Drosophila melanogaster: one gene and its partners. The protein of the gene in region 1 purifies or fractionates together with the protein of each later gene. This does not show direct contact. Each region holds a gene or a part of one and is shown in the gene's direction. Other genes may lie near its edges.

What was found.
Region 2: the proteins of Mis12 (region 1) and cana purify together in Drosophila melanogaster (affinity purification with mass spectrometry, with the first as the bait; one large-scale study listed by BioGRID). This does not show direct contact.
Region 3: the proteins of Mis12 (region 1) and Ndc80 purify together in Drosophila melanogaster (affinity purification with mass spectrometry; one large-scale study listed by BioGRID). This does not show direct contact.
Region 4: the proteins of Mis12 (region 1) and Spc25 purify together in Drosophila melanogaster (affinity purification with mass spectrometry; 2 studies listed by BioGRID). This does not show direct contact.

The regions. Positions count from the first base shown.
Region 1 is NT_037436.4:6,967,484-6,970,609, reverse strand, and holds Mis12 (Mis12), read left to right. Parts: upstream 1-1,561; 5' UTR 1,562-1,675; coding exon 1,676-1,745; intron 1,746-1,808; coding exon 1,809-2,101; intron 2,102-2,213; coding exon 2,214-2,396; 3' UTR 2,397-2,575; downstream 2,576-3,126. Other genes in the region: CG9953 (uncharacterized protein), read right to left, coding at 1-778; CG10064 (uncharacterized protein), read left to right, coding at 2,803-3,126.
Region 2 is NT_033779.5:11,268,088-11,272,814, forward strand, and holds the start of cana (CENP-ana), read left to right. Parts: upstream 1-1,692; 5' UTR 1,693-1,816; coding exon 1,817-1,955; intron 1,956-2,030; coding exon 2,031-2,153; intron 2,154-2,210; coding exon 2,211-2,557; intron 2,558-2,610; coding exon 2,611-3,446; intron 3,447-3,722; exon of another isoform or gene 3,723-4,204; intron 4,205-4,409; exon of another isoform or gene 4,410-4,531; intron 4,532-4,597; coding exon 4,598-4,727. Other genes in the region: cmet (CENP-meta), read right to left, coding at 19-365, 423-545, 621-759.
Region 3 is NC_004354.4:13,609,158-13,613,880, reverse strand, and holds Ndc80 (Ndc80), read left to right. Parts: upstream 1-1,818; 5' UTR 1,819-1,915; coding exon 1,916-2,001; intron 2,002-2,063; coding exon 2,064-2,123; intron 2,124-2,185; coding exon 2,186-2,570; intron 2,571-2,638; coding exon 2,639-4,135; 3' UTR 4,136-4,210; downstream 4,211-4,723.
Region 4 is NT_033777.3:12,959,909-12,963,756, forward strand, and holds Spc25 (Spc25), read left to right. Parts: upstream 1-1,836; 5' UTR 1,837-1,927; coding exon 1,928-2,054; intron 2,055-2,117; coding exon 2,118-2,334; intron 2,335-2,808; coding exon 2,809-3,133; 3' UTR 3,134-3,341; downstream 3,342-3,848. Other genes in the region: grsm (granny smith), read right to left, coding at 1-409. UniProt on the Drosophila melanogaster protein: Acts as a component of the essential kinetochore-associated Ndc80 complex, which is required for chromosome segregation and spindle checkpoint activity during meiosis and mitosis.

The DNA.
Region 1 (3,126 bases):
CGTCCAGGCTGCGTTGTCCAATCATGTGCTTGAGTAGAATCTCCACTTGCGCAAAGCTGCGGGTCACGGCGTCCACGCATTCGGGCTTGTAGGCAGCTAGAGAGGCTTTGACCACCTCGAAATACTCCTTGAAGTCAACCTCAGCCAGCAGAGGACCACTGGAGCTAATTGAACCGTAGATGAGCTCGGGATACTTCTCGCGTGCCCAGGCGGCCAGCGATCCCGGATAGGAGCCACCGAAAGCGATCCATTTCTGGCCATCGCCCAGATTGAACTTAACCTTCATGGCGGTTACAAAGCTGGCCAAGTCCTCCAGAGCCTGCTCCGAGCTGAGATAGTGCAGATTTTCGGTGGACAGATCAGCGGTGGGATGGCTCTTGCCATAGAAACGATGCTCCAACTGCAGACACAGCGCTCCAAAGTGCTCGGCATAGTGCACCCAGGCTCCTTCGCGCATCCACTTGGCCGACGCCTCGCCCTCGCCACCGATCATCAGGAATACGGGTGCGGAGCTGTCATTCCGATAGAAGTCGGCATTCACAAAGTATCGCTGCTGCCAGGTGCGCTTATCGCTCGACTTGAAGTGATCCAATCGCTGCTCGAACCACAGATCCTCCGAGTGCAGGCTCCTTTGCAGGGTTGGAATCTTGCTGGGCTCCCCGAGGAATCCCTTGGTCAGCCTTCCGCGTCGAAATCCCATTCCGGAAATGGGCGCAAGCAGTCCCAGGAGCAGAAGACCCACTCCCAAGGGCCTCAAAACGCCCCCAATGAAAAGCATATTTGCTTCCTTTGTTTGTTCGGGTCAAGTAGAATTTGCCAGTAATTGAAGTATTTAATTAGTTGGAACCTCGCACAGTGCCTAACTGTAAATAGCGACTGAAGGAGAGTGGTGTGTTCTATTTATATAGGCACCGTTATGTGTGTCGCACTCTCCTGATTATTCAGTTCTCGCTGTATTATCTATATTCGCAAAGCCGGCAAAGCAAAACTAAAACAGTAGGGGCATTCATAGTTATTGATTTCAATCATTAATTGAATTAATTTAATTTTAAGCAGAGAAAGATTTCTGTATGCTGTAAGTGTTCTGGTAACTTTACAAAACTTAATTTAGCTTTTTATTTATTTATATTATTTCCTAGCTAGATATTATCGATGAGCTTAATAGCACCGTAAATGTGAACGTGTTTTGCAAAATTTTTGTCAAGTAATTAAGAAAAGTATACATTCTTGCATGCTTTGATAATTTCCATCTGCGTGTAATTTTAAATTCTCACTGAACTAATTTAATGGAAGTTTCCTGAATTTCAAATGCTTTAGGTAGCTTTAATAAACAACATATAGTTTATTTGAATTATTCCATATATTAGGTAAATATTATTGTGGAGTTTCACTGTGCCGTTAATGCGAAAGCTTAATAAATGTATTTGTCAAAAATTTTAGGAAATTGTGCATGTGTATGCGTTGTTTTTATATTTTTCATCTGTATAGTCAGTTATAAGTAGCCAAATTTAGTAACTAGATTTTGTAGCTAAGTATGGCAGCACTGTTGCTGTGGTAGCATCTCTTTGTATTCTGAAAACGGTAACACTAATTGCGCGACAATTTGGATTGTTTACGTTTTTATCCAGTTTAATTGTAATATAATTTAAAAAAAATATTGTTGTTAACTGTCATAATGGACTTCAATAGCCTAGCCTACGATCAGAAGTTCTTCAATTTCACAGCGGCACAGTTGTCTGCAGAGCGTGAGTGCTACATCCTTATATCTCTGGATCAGCGTCCTTTATCCATTAATTCCTTTTAAATAGGCGAACATATTGTGCAGGACATAATTAAGAAGGGTATTGGTCAGATCATCGACAAGATCAAGACACCCGCCACAGCGGAATTGCTGGAAGCCGAGAAGGAGACCGTTGAGCGTCGTTTCCAGGCATCCGCCTCCAAGGGCCTAAAAGCCCTCAGGGAACTGGACAGCAAAGTGTTCCACGTTCCACCGCATGTGCTGCATCCGGAGCACATGTTCGTCGAGAATCAGTATACCAGCGAAGAGGAGGAGCAGAAGACAGCCAGGTTGGAGGAGCTGAAGGCCAAATACAGAGAGGTAACTTGTAGAACCAATGGAAACTATCTTGTATGCCTCATTTTAATCATTATAATGGGGAAAAGGATGCTTTATTTTATGTTTTAATAATGCTAAATCACATCAATTTCAGAACATGGCCATGCTGGCGCATTTGAAGATCGAGGAGGAGAAGTACGCCGCCATGGAGGATCTCATCCAGAAGGAGATCGAAATGCAGGATCGCGTGCAGCGAAGCTGCTCCTCCCTCAACATCACCAAGCTGAAGCAATTCTGGAATCAAGTGCCCCTGCAGATAAAGAAGGAGACTGATTAAATAAACTAACTGGATCAAGTTTTTTAATCTACATTTCCAATATCTTCTTTCGAAACTAGTTTTAACCCTGGAGTCATTTATAATCACTAAGACTCTTCTATATTCCACTTTACCTATTATTATGTCGTTAACTTAGTTTTAAACTTAAAATTAAATTAAATTAAAATTATTATGAATCCGAAACACCTAGATGATTACTTACTAGTTTTAAACCAATTTACCTTAGCATTATATTAGTTCCTTTGACAACAGCGGCAACCAAGCAACGGTCGCTGTTTAAATTTTCCAACTGCCTTGTTTTCAAACAGAAAACAAGCCGGTTAAAAAGTTTCAAGCACAGAACAGACACAAAAACCCCCTTATATGTTACATTTCGAATCGTATATTTTGCTATAAGCCTGGAAAAATGGGAGACTCGCACGATGTCTGCAGGCAGCTGCTGCCGCGCGCAATCTTCGGCATCAATGGCAAGGTGGAGAATGGAGTGCGCCAGCATCCGGTCACGGGATCCATCATCTTTGCGCTGGGCAACAAAATCGGCATCGCCGACTACAAGAAGAATACGCAGGAGTTTGTGGCCGGACACACGAACACCATATCGTGCCTGGATCTCAGCAAGAGTGGCAAATACATGGCCTCCGGTCAGATCAATCACATGGGCTTCCGCGGCTATGTGATCATCTGGAATTACGATCAGCGCAAGGAGATCGCTCGCCACGATCTGCACAAG
Region 2 (4,727 bases), on another chromosome or scaffold:
ATAGCAGGCTGCACTTACTATCTTAAATATGGCATGCGAACGGCTGGACCGCTCGTTCATGTTCGTCTCGCCCACGGTGCGCTCCTTATTGCCCAAGCATAGCAGGCGCAGGAGGTCAACCTCGCTGGTTATGATGCACTCCTCGCAGTTCACATTCACAATCCCATTTCCGGACTCATGGATCTTGAGGTCCTGATTCTTCTTGTTCAGCAGATCGTAGATCTTCTCGTTGTAGATCTCGATGTAGCCCACGCGCAGCAGAAAGTCCCGCTCCGTCTCACTGGAGATCTGTTGAAAGATCTCCTTGGCGGCTAGCACCATGACGCCCGGATTCTGTTCGTCGCCCATCATGGTGTACGTCTTGCCTGAAATGCATGCCCGGTTTTAGGTATACCGCCGCGTATATATAGCACAGTACCCACCCGACGACGTCTGGCCGTAGGCAAAAATAGTTCCGTTGAAGCCCTGCATGCAGGCGTGCACTATGTGCTTGGCCATCCGGTCGAACACCTCCTGGTTGCTGGCGCCCTCGTCGAACACATAGTCTGCCAAACGGAATGGAATGTAAATGAGATAAAGGTCTTGTGGATCAGGATACGCTCAACGCTCTAACCACTCACCGAAGACATAGGGCTCCGCATGGCTGTCCGCCAAGTGGATGGAGCGGCGCTCCTTCACCTGCCAGAGTGAAGTGAGCCCGGGCTCGCAGGGACGCACCTTGATGCAGACCTGGATGGAGCTGGCGTTCTTCGCAGACATCTTGGCGCCTTCTTGGTCTCAATGCTTTATGATAAACAGAACGCAGTTCATAAACAAACATAAAATTCAATGTTTTACAGTAAACAAACATTGATCGACATCTTTGTTGCTCGTTAAATTCGAACAAATGCCGCTTTGCAAAATCAGGGATGTATATGCTTCGATATCTTCGAGTGGCGCTAACGACTCGATAGATAAATCGGTTCATCGATTGTTATCATAGTTCCAAATAGGGCTGCAAAAATAAAAACAGAAACACATTATGTTCTTATCCCACAGGGCTGCATTAACATTCCTGATCAAGGGTCGCTACGGCATATATATATTCTAAGACGTTGTGTTCTTATTGGTAGGGCATGCTAACTAACAAAGTTCTATGACTCAATACTTTAAGGTCAAACAGAAAATAGAACAAGCTCTTAAATACATGCGAAAACTACGGTTTAAATTTCATATAAGTTCGTATTTTTTCTACTAATTCATAACTTCTATTCATAGCACACATATAATGTGGAAAGTATTTGATTCCAAAACAAATATTTGAAATAAATTATAACTAAGCTCCCTAATATAACCACTATAATATTTTCCAAATTTTCAATTTTCCTATTTTTTTTAATAGTGAACAACTGGGATTATTATTCCAATGAAATCTCATGTTTATATCAGACAGTATTCTTCTGTATGCATTAAACAATCCCCTCAGCTTTTGTCTGTCTGTAAGTAAGCATTTAATTTAGCGGTCTTTACTATTTTGGAAATATAGATAATAATAATCTATATTATATATCACGAAAAAGCTCGGAAAAAGTTTTATGTTCGAAGCCTATTGGATTATATTTTCATATTCGCCGAAAGCTCCTCAAACTTTTAAATTGAACTGGCTCGCGCCTATTTACTGGTTCCGTATTTCGATCTGGTTCGCTTCCGAAGCGGTATTTGTTCGAATTTACAAAGAGAAACTAACATGTCGATCAAACTAGCTTTTATAAAACGTTAAAATCTGTTTGTGTCTGTTCATTGTGCATGTCAAACACGTTTCCCACAAGTCGCAAAGATGTCTACGAAGAACGCCAGCTCCATCCAGGTCTGCATCAAGGTGCGTCCCTGCGAGCCCGGGCTCACTTCACTCTGGCAGGTGAAGGAGGGCCGCTCCATCCAGTTGGCGGACAGCCATGCGGAGCCCTATGTCTTCGGTGAGTGGTTAGAGCGTTGAGCGTATCCTGATCTACAAGACCTTTATCTCATTTACATTCCATTCCGTTTGGCAGACTATGTGTTCGACGAGGGCGCCAGCAACCAGGAGGTGTTCGACCGGATGGCCAAGCACATAGTGCACGCCTGCATGCAGGGCTCCAACGGAACTATTTTTGCCTACGGCCAGACGTCGTCGGGTGGGTACTGTGCTATATATACGCGGCGGTATACCTAAAACCGGGCATGCATTTCAGGCAAGACGTACACCATGATGGGCGACGAACAGAATCCGGGCGTCATGGTGCTAGCCGCCAAGGAGATCTTTCAACAGATCTCCAGTGAGACGGAGCGGGACTTTCTGCTGCGCGTGGGCTACATCGAGATCTACAACGAGAAGATCTACGATCTGCTGAACAAGAAGAATCAGGACCTCAAGATCCATGAGTCCGGCAATGGGATTGTGAATGTGAACTGCAAGGAGTCCATCGTAACCAGCGAGGACGACCTCCTGCGCCAGCTCTACATGGGCAACAAGGAGCGCGTCGTGGGCGAGACCAACATGAACGAGCGGTCCAGTCGTTCGCACGCCATCTTCAGGATAGTGAGTGCTAGATTCTTGTATTAATCATATAATATGCAAGATTATTTCTACAGATCATTGAGTCCCGAAAGTCGGACCACAGTGATAACGACACCGTAAAGCAGAGCGTACTGAGCCTGGTGGATCTGGCTGGATCCGAACAGGTGGACCCCGCGGACCACGCATCCAGCCTTATGATTTTTCGCAACTTGGTTAAGAGCCTCTCCGAGAGTGTAGATAGCAAGCCGAATAGCTTTCGCGATTCGAAACTTCCGCGCATCATGCTGCCTTCGCTGGGTGGAAATGTTTTGACCTCTATCATCTGTACAATTACGCCATCGTTCGTGGAGGAGTCGTCATCCACTATAAGCTTCGGCACGTGTGCCAAAAAAATTCGTTGCAAGCCGCAGGTCTGCAAGATAGACTCTGAAACCACGATGATGAGGCAACTTGATCGCGGGATCAGTATGTTGAAGGATAAGCTTGCTAAGAAGAAGATCAAGAATGAGAGCCAGCTGGTATTGCAGGAATTGGAAGGTCGCATCAAGCGCGACATGTTGAAGATCGTTTCCAGCGCCTCGCTTGACGACTATCGCCTCCAGAAGCGTCGTCGTACTTGGACTTTAACCGCCTCAGGCTCAGAAGGCGACGCTCCTGTTCTCGCATTGCCTGAGCCAGAGGAGTCCCGTCTACCGCGTCCTTCGAAGCTGACTAACCTGCCGAAACCCTTGTTTCAGCGGCGGGGGATTGCTCCCAAAGCCAAAGGCATTTGTAAAACCCTAAAGGAGAAAAGGTTACAAACGGATAATATGGACACTATGCCTGGCCGGGCGAAACAGTTGGGAAGAGAGACAGCTAGCAGAATTCCTTCAGTAATGATGTCAAAAAAGTATCAGGAGTCGGTGCCGAAGTAAGTAAATTTATGAATTATTTATTTTACTTTTAGATCTAGAGTTATAAAAAGATTCAAATGAGTTAAACAAACGAAACTACATAGTATTCTACGCGACTATATCGTTTTGAAAAGTACTTTAAGTAAGCAATTTTGCGCATTTTGAACATACCAACTCACCTCTTGCGCGCACTCACCTGACACCTGAACTAAAAACGAGGTGGAGACGAGTGCGGCGTGCTCTTCTACTCGGCTGTCTTCTCGTGCGGTCTTCGCTCGCTCTTCTTGCTTTCTCGCAGCAGTCGCAGCGAAGAGGGCAAGCTGTCTCAACTGGGAGTCCGATCGCGAAGAAATCGAAAACAAAACAAACGCCAACGCAAATAGCCGTCGAGAAGGAAAGATTTCTGGGGGAGAATCCGGGAGCGGAAAGAGGCGAGGCGACGCCTGTTGTGAGCCAGTTTTGCGAATAGACTCGGCTGGATGCGATGTGACGCCCCAGCTACGATCGCTTTGTGGCCCTGGAAGCGCGATAAGGCAGTCAGCCGATCGACAAGGTAGTTAACTGGCCAACTTCTTGATAATTTGATCGCTGGAATTCCGCAATGCTCATTGTATTTGCCGCTGTCCGTCAGTCAGCACGCTTTTCCTCCGCCCATCGCTCTCGCGCTCCTCCCCCGATCGTCTTGGGTGATCGATGACGTCGGCCCTACTGTCGATCCACCAACGTTATAGACTGTGATGTAACGCATATAGATTGGCTAACCGAAACCGAAAAAGTGAGTGAGTGAGTGAGTGACTTGGGTAAAAGATCTGCGCTCAAAATAATAGCACAGTGCAGTTGCACTTCTGTTTCGTTTGCGAAAATAAACAATTTGTGAAAGGTGTTTAGATTTGAATCTTTAAAAACGCTTCTATTTCTTTGACCATGTTCGCGTAACCCACACATCTCGCCTGGTGCAACTTCAACTTGAATGCCGCCAGCTGCTTCTATTTTTAGTGGTTTTTTGTGAACGCCGGATTCCCTCAGACAGCACCCATTTAGCTAGGCAGAGTAAATAGCTTTTCGTAGCCATGCGCGCACTGGAAATATAAATAGAGTTAAAGTATATTTATGGAGTTCCTGAATTTACGTATTCATTCAAATCCCTCAATTTTCCTATCAATTACAGCTGCGATGCCCCGCAGACCGAGATCTCTGCGCTTACTGCATCCAACCAGGTAGCAAAGGAGACGATCGAGAAGTACGAGGAGCAGGTGAAGAGGCTAAAGGAGACAATTGAGCGGCTGGAGATGGAGAAC
Region 3 (4,723 bases), on another chromosome or scaffold:
ACAGCACAATTTGAACTATGTATAGTTTTGCAATACACGACTATATTTCACATCTGGTTTCCGAAGTTTTGCTTAGAGCAGTTCGCCAGACCATTGCATTATATTGTACATTATATATATGGGTGTACAGACATTATATACATATATATATATATACATACTTGCATGCATTGTATTTGCGACTCTACTTAAGGCAAGTCCACCTTTTGGACTGGCTCTCCACCTAATCGCAATCTCTCGGTTTCTGTTGCTGCATGTTCTTAATACTATTTCACCTAGCTCCCCACCCCTCCCCACATATTATATTCAATTTTTTTTATTTAACCAAAATTTTAGTTAAAAAAGAGACAATTCAGATTGTAATCTATTTAGGCAAGTGGTAGGGTATCTCTAGCATTAGAAGAAGCTAAAAGTAAAAACAATTTCGTAAAACCAAAATTTTTTCTCTAGGATCATAATTATTAAGCTGAGCTAAAAACGAAAACAAATTTTAACTAACTAAGAAGGGACAAAATTGAAATAAGATCAAAAAAGGAAAACATGTACATTTTGGAAGAAAAATCAAAGTCCACAAAATTTTAACGAATGAGAGGCAAAAAATCAGACAAAAATGAACCACAAGAGAATGAAAAAAAAAAACAAAAATGGAAATAGGTTTCTAAGATGTTTTAATATATTTTGTAATAACAATGCTCGAGTATTTTTCATGTATGTAGTTTTTGATCCAAAATTGAGCGATCAACAAAGGCAAAGGGGTTCTCAACGATCGGTTCCTCGAGAGGATTTGCCAATCATCGATCATAGGGCTCTATTGCTGAACGCTTTGTTTTGGGCACAACTACCTCCTCCGCTTGGCACCGGCAGTAGCCTCGTCTGTGGAGGATCTGGTGGTCCGCTTCCGTTTCTGGCTGCTAGGGGGCTTATCTTCGGCAACTTCTTCTTGGGATTCGGATGCCTTTGCCTGCTTCTTTTGGGCTTTCGGTTGTCTCTTCGTTTTGACCAACTCTTTGGATTGCTTCGCTTCCTTTGAATCGACTTGAGTTGGCTCTTCCTCGGATTTCTGTTCCTTTTTGGATTTACGCGAAGTTGAAGTTGAAGTTGGTGCCTTCGTTTTTGATAAAAACAATATTTAGTTAATTTTTTCTGGACTTATTGGGCCTTCCCTACCTCGTTTTCCTGTGCTTCCTCTGTGGACTCCGACTTCTTTGGCGATGCTAGAGCCTCGGACCCCGGTAAATCAATTTTAGATAACTTCTGCGTGTTGATCTGTTCCTTGGACTCCTGCTGGTCACCTAGAATCCCTACAATCCGATCGTATACCTCCTCCACAGTGGGAAACTTGCGAGCACGTGGTGGACCCCGCTTTAGACCCGACCAAAGTGCCACCTGCTCCTGCTTTCCCATTCCGCCGGCGCTCAAACTTAACTCGAAGGCTCCTCGCCGTGGTGCTCCAAGTGCATTCAGCTGGAGCTGAAGCTGTTGGAGACCACGCTCCCGGAGAGCGGAGTGCAGCTCCTCCGCTCGACGACGAAAGACTCGTCAGGATCGGCAGTGCTCTACGTAGAGCACCGGCGCATTGGGATCCAGCTCTTCGCCTGCATCCCGCTCAGCGATTGGCGCCTGTAGAATCGTTTGGAAATGCATTTAGCTATTGAAATAATGTAGTATTTCAATCGTACCTCTGCTTTTTTGTTCCGTTTTGGTGGCATGATCCTAAAGTAATCAGAATTTTTAAGTAAATGGCGCACTTTTTATTTGGCAGTGCTGCCAGATGGTTTAGTAACACTAGGGTGTCAATCGCGACTGCATCCCTGGAAACTATCGATTTGCCGATAACAGGCGTTAAACGACGCGCGATTCCCAATCAAACTGAGTAAACATTTAATTTAATCAACGTAGTTTCAATAACGCCAAGATGTCGCACCTGATGCCCCGGCGGACCAGCGAGTTCCGTGGCGATGTACTGGAGGAGCGAGGCACTGCCGATAAGCGGCAAACCAGGTGAGCATCGAAATCCAACTGATCAAATCTTGTCAACGATGCAAATGCGTATCCTTTTCCAGGGCAACAAAGCGGAGCGCAGCCACGCACACTCCGTCCTCCAGCCAGGCGGCACCCAGAAGGTATGCACAACCATTTGATTATCGAAGGCACAACCAGTAATGTTTGAATCCAATCCGCATAGGCCGTCCGCATCGCGTCTGCCGCAGCCGCTGAACTTGGAGCGCGATCGGGCCAGTCAAATGGGCGTGACGCCCAAGCGAGGCCACCGGTTTGTGCCCTCCACTGCGGAGCGCGCCATTGCGCCACACTCCGACAAGAAATGGGTGGCGGAGAGGGCACAGCAGATCCTGGAATACCTACATGGCATTCAGAACAGCGAGGCGCCCACTGGACTTATTGCGGATCTATTCAGTCGGCCCGGGGGTTTGCGACACATGACCATCAAGCAATTTGTTTCCATTCTCAACTTTATGTTCCACCACATCTGGCGAAATCGCGTGACAGTGGGCCAGAACCATGTCGAGGATATTACCAGCGCAATGCAAAAGCTACAGTATCCTTATCAGGTAAGCAACTCGGATGCTCTTAGGTTTCCAGTGTTCGTTTAATTCTTAAATCCACTTGTGACTTGCAGGTGAACAAATCATGGCTTGTATCGCCAACAACACAGCATTCATTCGGCCATGTGATCGTTCTGCTGGACTTTCTCATGGACTTTTTACCGCCTCTGCCCTCGTCGGATGTGGTGGAGGAGGAGTTTCCGTTTATGGAAACCATGGAGCAGCCCAGCTCGTATCTGAATAGCATGCACTGCGAGTCGACGACCATCATGTCCACCACACAGGCGCACGCCATTCAGCTAGATGAAGACGTCAATGGTCTGCTCTTCGAAGAGGCTAGCAAATGCATTGCCTTGTGGGATCAGGAGCTTACCAATGAGGAGGCCAAGCTGCAGGCGGAGACCAGGGATCAGGTGATCAGCAAGAAGTGTGATTTGCCCGATCGCAAAGCCTTAGACCAGCTAATCGGCGATCTGAAGACGAAACTACAGCAACTGGAGAATAAGTTGCATGATCCCAGTGAAGACAATAAACTGAACAAACTGGAACGTCTTACCAAAGAGCACGATCAGCTTGCCCAACAGCTAGCTGCCAGTGAAGAGGAGCTGATCAAGAAACTGAAGTTATACGAACAGCTGTCTGCCCAGGTAGAAGAAAAACAGTCTAATCTCCGCCAGCAAATGAAGTATGAAAAGCGTCTGGAGCAGGCGGTTAACAGGCAGAAGTTCTCCGCCCAGCAGCTAAAGGAGCTTCAAATGAAGTGCGACGATATGGAAAACTACTCCAAGGCTTATGAGCGCCAGGTGAAGGAGGTGTCCGAGCTGGAGCTGCATCAGCAGGTGATGCTGTCGCGCGCCAAGCAAAAGCAACTGGATTCCGTTGAGGTCTTTAACTCGCACGTGCGCCACCTGAGCATGGACCCGGTGATTTGTGGCCTGATAAAGAGCGGCATTGGCCAGCAATCGGACCTTACTCTGCCACTAAATCCCAATCAAGAGGACATCTCGGAGAGGGTGCAGTGCCTGGAGTTGCTGGGCAAACTTCTGCAACAGCACCGCCAGCAGAATATCGATCGGCGTCAGATGTTGGACAAGCAGGTGGCCAAGGTAAAGTCTGATTCCATCGAGTTAGACACCGAAATCGCCACCATGGACTCTCAGTTGCGGGCGCAGAAACAGCGTCTGACCAAAATGGAGGCCAGTTATCGGACCAAGCGCGACATGCAGGCGCAGCACAGGCAACAGCTGCTCGAGGATCAGTACGACCAGACCGCCCGTCTGGATGAGTTGGAGAAGAGGGAGAAGCAGGCGCTGGAAAAGCTGGAAGCCAGCAAGCAACGGAACGAGGATCTACTCACCGCTGCTGAGCAGTTTCAGGAGCAGGATCTCAAGGCCCGCCAAGATCGCCTGGAAAAATGCGAGCAGAAGCTGGCCAAAGCGGAGGACCAGCTGCTCGCCGTGGAATCAAAGGTCAACGCGACTCAGGCCAAGCTGAACGAGGTGGAGCAAAAGGTGTACTCCGCCAAGCTGCCATCCTTTCAGCCCGTGCTAGATGCCATCAAGAATCATTGATTTGATCCGGATGTTTTGTTGTAGTCCAGTTGATCTGTAAGGAATTTATTAAAGAGTATTCTTTGTTTTCAAATTAAAAAAGACAATGAAGCTGTCTGCAATGTTCAATGTTTTATGTTTTATGAAATGCATTTATTTTTGATTACATTTGAATTAGGTAAATTGAGTTGAACACAGCGGTTCCTGGACAAAGGAGGGGATGATACTCCATAATATCAGATTTCTTAAGTTCTTTATTGCCACACGTATTACGGATTTCATTACGGATCTCCGCTGCCTTTTTTGGGATTACAAATTGCACTTGGAACGGTTTAGCTTTACATGGTTATACATATGTATACACTGAGTGGTGGGTAAATACGGCAAGGGTAACTTAAGCGTAGGTATCTATAAATATTAAATAATATTATCATTTGGCCAATTTTGTGTAGTTTAGCGTGCGATTGACTTGTGCCACAAAAAAGTTGCAGGGAAACGTTTGCATTTATTGCTATTAAATTAATTAATTTGGATATTTCATTTGTGTGCGCTTTTTTCGTATTCGTAGATATATATTTTGTCATTTTTGGGCTTAAAATAAACGAAAAT
Region 4 (3,848 bases), on another chromosome or scaffold:
TTTTGCGGGAATAGAGTGGAAAAGCGCGAACCACCGCACAGGCGCTGGCGAATAGATTCTCTCGTTCGCAGACGAGCACCACGCTCTCCTCGGAAACGTTCAGCACATGGTTCTTTACCAGACGAGTGATGGCATGAGCCCGGGATGCCGTATTGTGTCGGGATGCCTTCAATGGCAGGGCAGCCACGGTGGCCACATCGAGATAGAGGGATACCTTATCGGTGGGCGCGGGATGCAGACAAGCGACGGCATTCAGGAAGGTCTCCTCGGTGACGCGCGGACTGAGTTTGCTCTCCAGATGACTGAACTTCAGTAGGTTTAGATGGCGCAGCTGGCCGATGATCAGGACCGGATGTGTCTGCGGATCACTGCAGCCTAGCGACTCGTTAAACTTTACGTCCGTGGCCATCTGTAAGAGAATGTGTGTGCGAATGAGTAAAGAATGGAATGGCTAGCCAAATCCCAGTGATAAGCCGCCGGTATTATCTTATCGGTGCTAATCTGGTGTTTAGCGCTCCAAGTGCCCCACTTGCTTATCAGTCGACGACTTTGCACCACAGGGGCGGTCAATGGATGCAGCCATCCATAAATCACGAGAGCCAAAACCGGCGAGATAAGCAGTGGCATTTGGGTTATGGGTAGGGCCATCTGGACAAACACAGGGGCGTTACTCATCGGTTGCAAGCGGATGCAACGCTGTAGGGGAAGTTTAAGAATAGCTGACCCATATTAGAATGGCTCAATTAAAGTAGCTCCATTGTGAAAAATACTGCAGTATAATTTTATAACTAAAATTCTAATAAAAAACAATCAATCAATAATTATGTTTACAACTAAAAAGCATTGGGTTCATAAAATGAAGCTTCAAAAGAAAAAAATTACCTCTAAAATATTTTAACTATAATAATCACCTAATATACATAAATATAAATTGTATTGCATTTATAATGAACAAATTAAGATAAATTGTAGTAGCAATATGAATTCTAATAATTTACATAACATTTTCTGAGTTTTAGCGAATATTAGAAAATCTTATAAAATCAAATAACGTTTTTTTTTACAAATTATTAATTTTAATATATTTTGGTACAATAACTTAACTAAGTAGTTAACATTTTCAACTTAAAGCCATCAATTTTCCAGCTTTACAGTCGCAAGGCAATAAAAACATAAACTACCGAAAAGATATCGTTCAGCACATATCTTTACGATGCTCCATAAACTCGCATGGGTTTTATAAGCACGATATCATTGTGCATAAAGCGATTTAAGTTTCTTAAAATCGCAAATGCCACATGACCTTGAATTCGGTGCAACAAGAACAACAAGTGGGTCGTTGACCGACTCGCAGCATTCGAAACCGAAAAGTGGATAAACATCTAATTTACCCATTTTCAATTGGATTTGACTGGACACTCGATATGTAGAAATATTATGCAAATTCTATATTCTCTATTTTTAGACTCTTTGTTCGCGATTTCTTCGTTTGCAAAGCGTTTTTTGCACATTTTCTGCCTTTTTATTCGCTCACCTTTTTGAAGCGGGCGCTGCTGTAGGTGCGAGCGAGATGGTTGCGTATTGCCTGGACGCAGAGCAGCAAACGCATGAAGTGCCTGCTTCAGAAATTGCACAAAAATTTGCCAAAAGTGCCGACGTTTTATTTTTATTTTATTTTGCTGCCAATTTGACTTGCAATTTTTTGCTTGCCGGCTAATAGAGATGTGACTTGCACGACGATAAGTCGATGTCAGCTATCGATAAGTGCAGAACCACTTTTTTCTTTCAGCCTGGCCACCCTGCTGGTGTCGTGGAAGTGTCATCCCTAATGAGAAGTACCACCACTAACTGGAAAGCAAAACAAGCGTCTGGAAAACGGCGCTTAGTTTTTAAAGATTTTAATTGATTGCAGTAAATTGAGTTTAAAATGGCAATTATTATGACTGAATCGAGTTACGAAAGGCGCGTAAAGGCTTTGTACGAAAAACAAATTCACATGGAAGCCCTCGAGGCGAAATTCATCAAAAAGGTCTTTAAATTCAACAGCAATTTGTGTGAGTTGGAATTTATCTCCATATATCTCCATTTCAATTGATATATTTCACTAAATATTTTAGTGGATGTCAAGGAAGCAGCTTCGCGCCATCAGCGGAAAGTGGGAAAGTTGCAAAAAGTGCTCATGGAGCGGCGGGAGGAGTTGGACAAGCGAGTTTCCTTCATAGAGGAACTTGATCGAGAACTGGAGGCCACCAAACTTCACAATTTGGCCATGAAAGATTGGTTTAAACAGCAGAAAATGCTGGCCAAACAGCGCAAAAACGAAATCATGGAAAGGTCAGGGATTAGGTCAAAGATAATCATATTAAGATTTTCTTAGCACGAATGGCTAGCTAATATTTTCCGGGCTCCAATGGGTTCGATCTTGTCCTTATTATACATAAAAATGACTATTCATATTGATTTTTAGTCCATCCAAAACTACTATTGGTACAAATATATGTATATGACAATAATGTATTGTCAACATTTATGGTCTTTACATGCGTACAAGTTGCAGTGAGAGACTAATCAAATACTTTATTTACTTTAACTAAATCTATTAGGAGCATCATCAAAGTCTATAAACTGCAAATAATAGATATAGTTGAGGTCGTGTTCCAAATAACTTATTTAGCTTACATACATAATTTATTTGCATAGCCTCACATGCGCTCTTATTTTTCAAACAAATCCGATTTTAATGCGGTCAGTTTTAAACTTAGTATACTATAATGAGAGCAATGTGTGTTTATTTGTTTTATTTTATAGCATTCACACGCTGTCGAAGACAACAAGAACCTATATAAATCAAGAAGCGCTGCCGGCACGTGTGAAGGGTGTCACTGTACTCCGTGGCGATAAACGCGACCAGTTGATACCCTTTGATCTGAAGGCGACCGATGTGGAAGGACTGGACTCACTGTGTCAGCATCTCGAGAGTCTAAATGTGGACGTGGCGCAGTGGCAGCAGCTTATCTCGCTGGCCATGGACATGGCTATGGAGTCACGTGCTCCCACTACTCCGCCCAAGGAAGCAGACAATTGCAAGTCTATAATCGAGATTGATCTCACATCGCCGATGAGCCACACCTGACTTCCGATTAACTGATTTACTTGGATTAGGGGGAAGACCCTTTTCCAATGGAGCACTTTATTTTAGCATTATAAATAGTTGGCTTCCAATAAAAGCTCAATTGGGAATTCATCTTAACGAATTAAGCATCTTATTATAGCAGTTTTTTAGCCATTTAAGTACTGCTTGTAATTGTTTAAGTGCAGTGTAAATTATACATATATCTCCCAAAATTTTTTTTTTTTTCTTTTTTCTGATATATCATCTTCACTGGAAGCTTAAAAATTTTTAGAGATATCGCCAAAGAAGAGATATCGCGAAAGGCTCCAGTTTAAGTAGTTCCAATTCAAACTTATTCAAATTAAAAACCAGTTATTGAATTTATTTTAAATCAAAAGTCTTCTTATCATATTTAACCAAATTTACAACTTTAGTGATAATTATATCATAAATTTGGTTTAATGAGTTCTCTATTACTATAAGGTTTTATATATATTTCAAATGTTTGGGTAATTTCCTTATAACTATATCAGAACAAGACCTGTTTTATTAAACACCTTTCTTTAAGATTTGTATGATTATCTGAGAGCTTTTGACATGGCGGCCGGTGTTAATCGAGAAATCTCGAAAGTCACAAGCGACTCAGAGTGCCACCGACTAACCGATCTATGAATAAACAGCGATCCATATAGATTGGCGCTGCTCAATTGCTATTGTCCGGCGAAAGTTAGAGCGA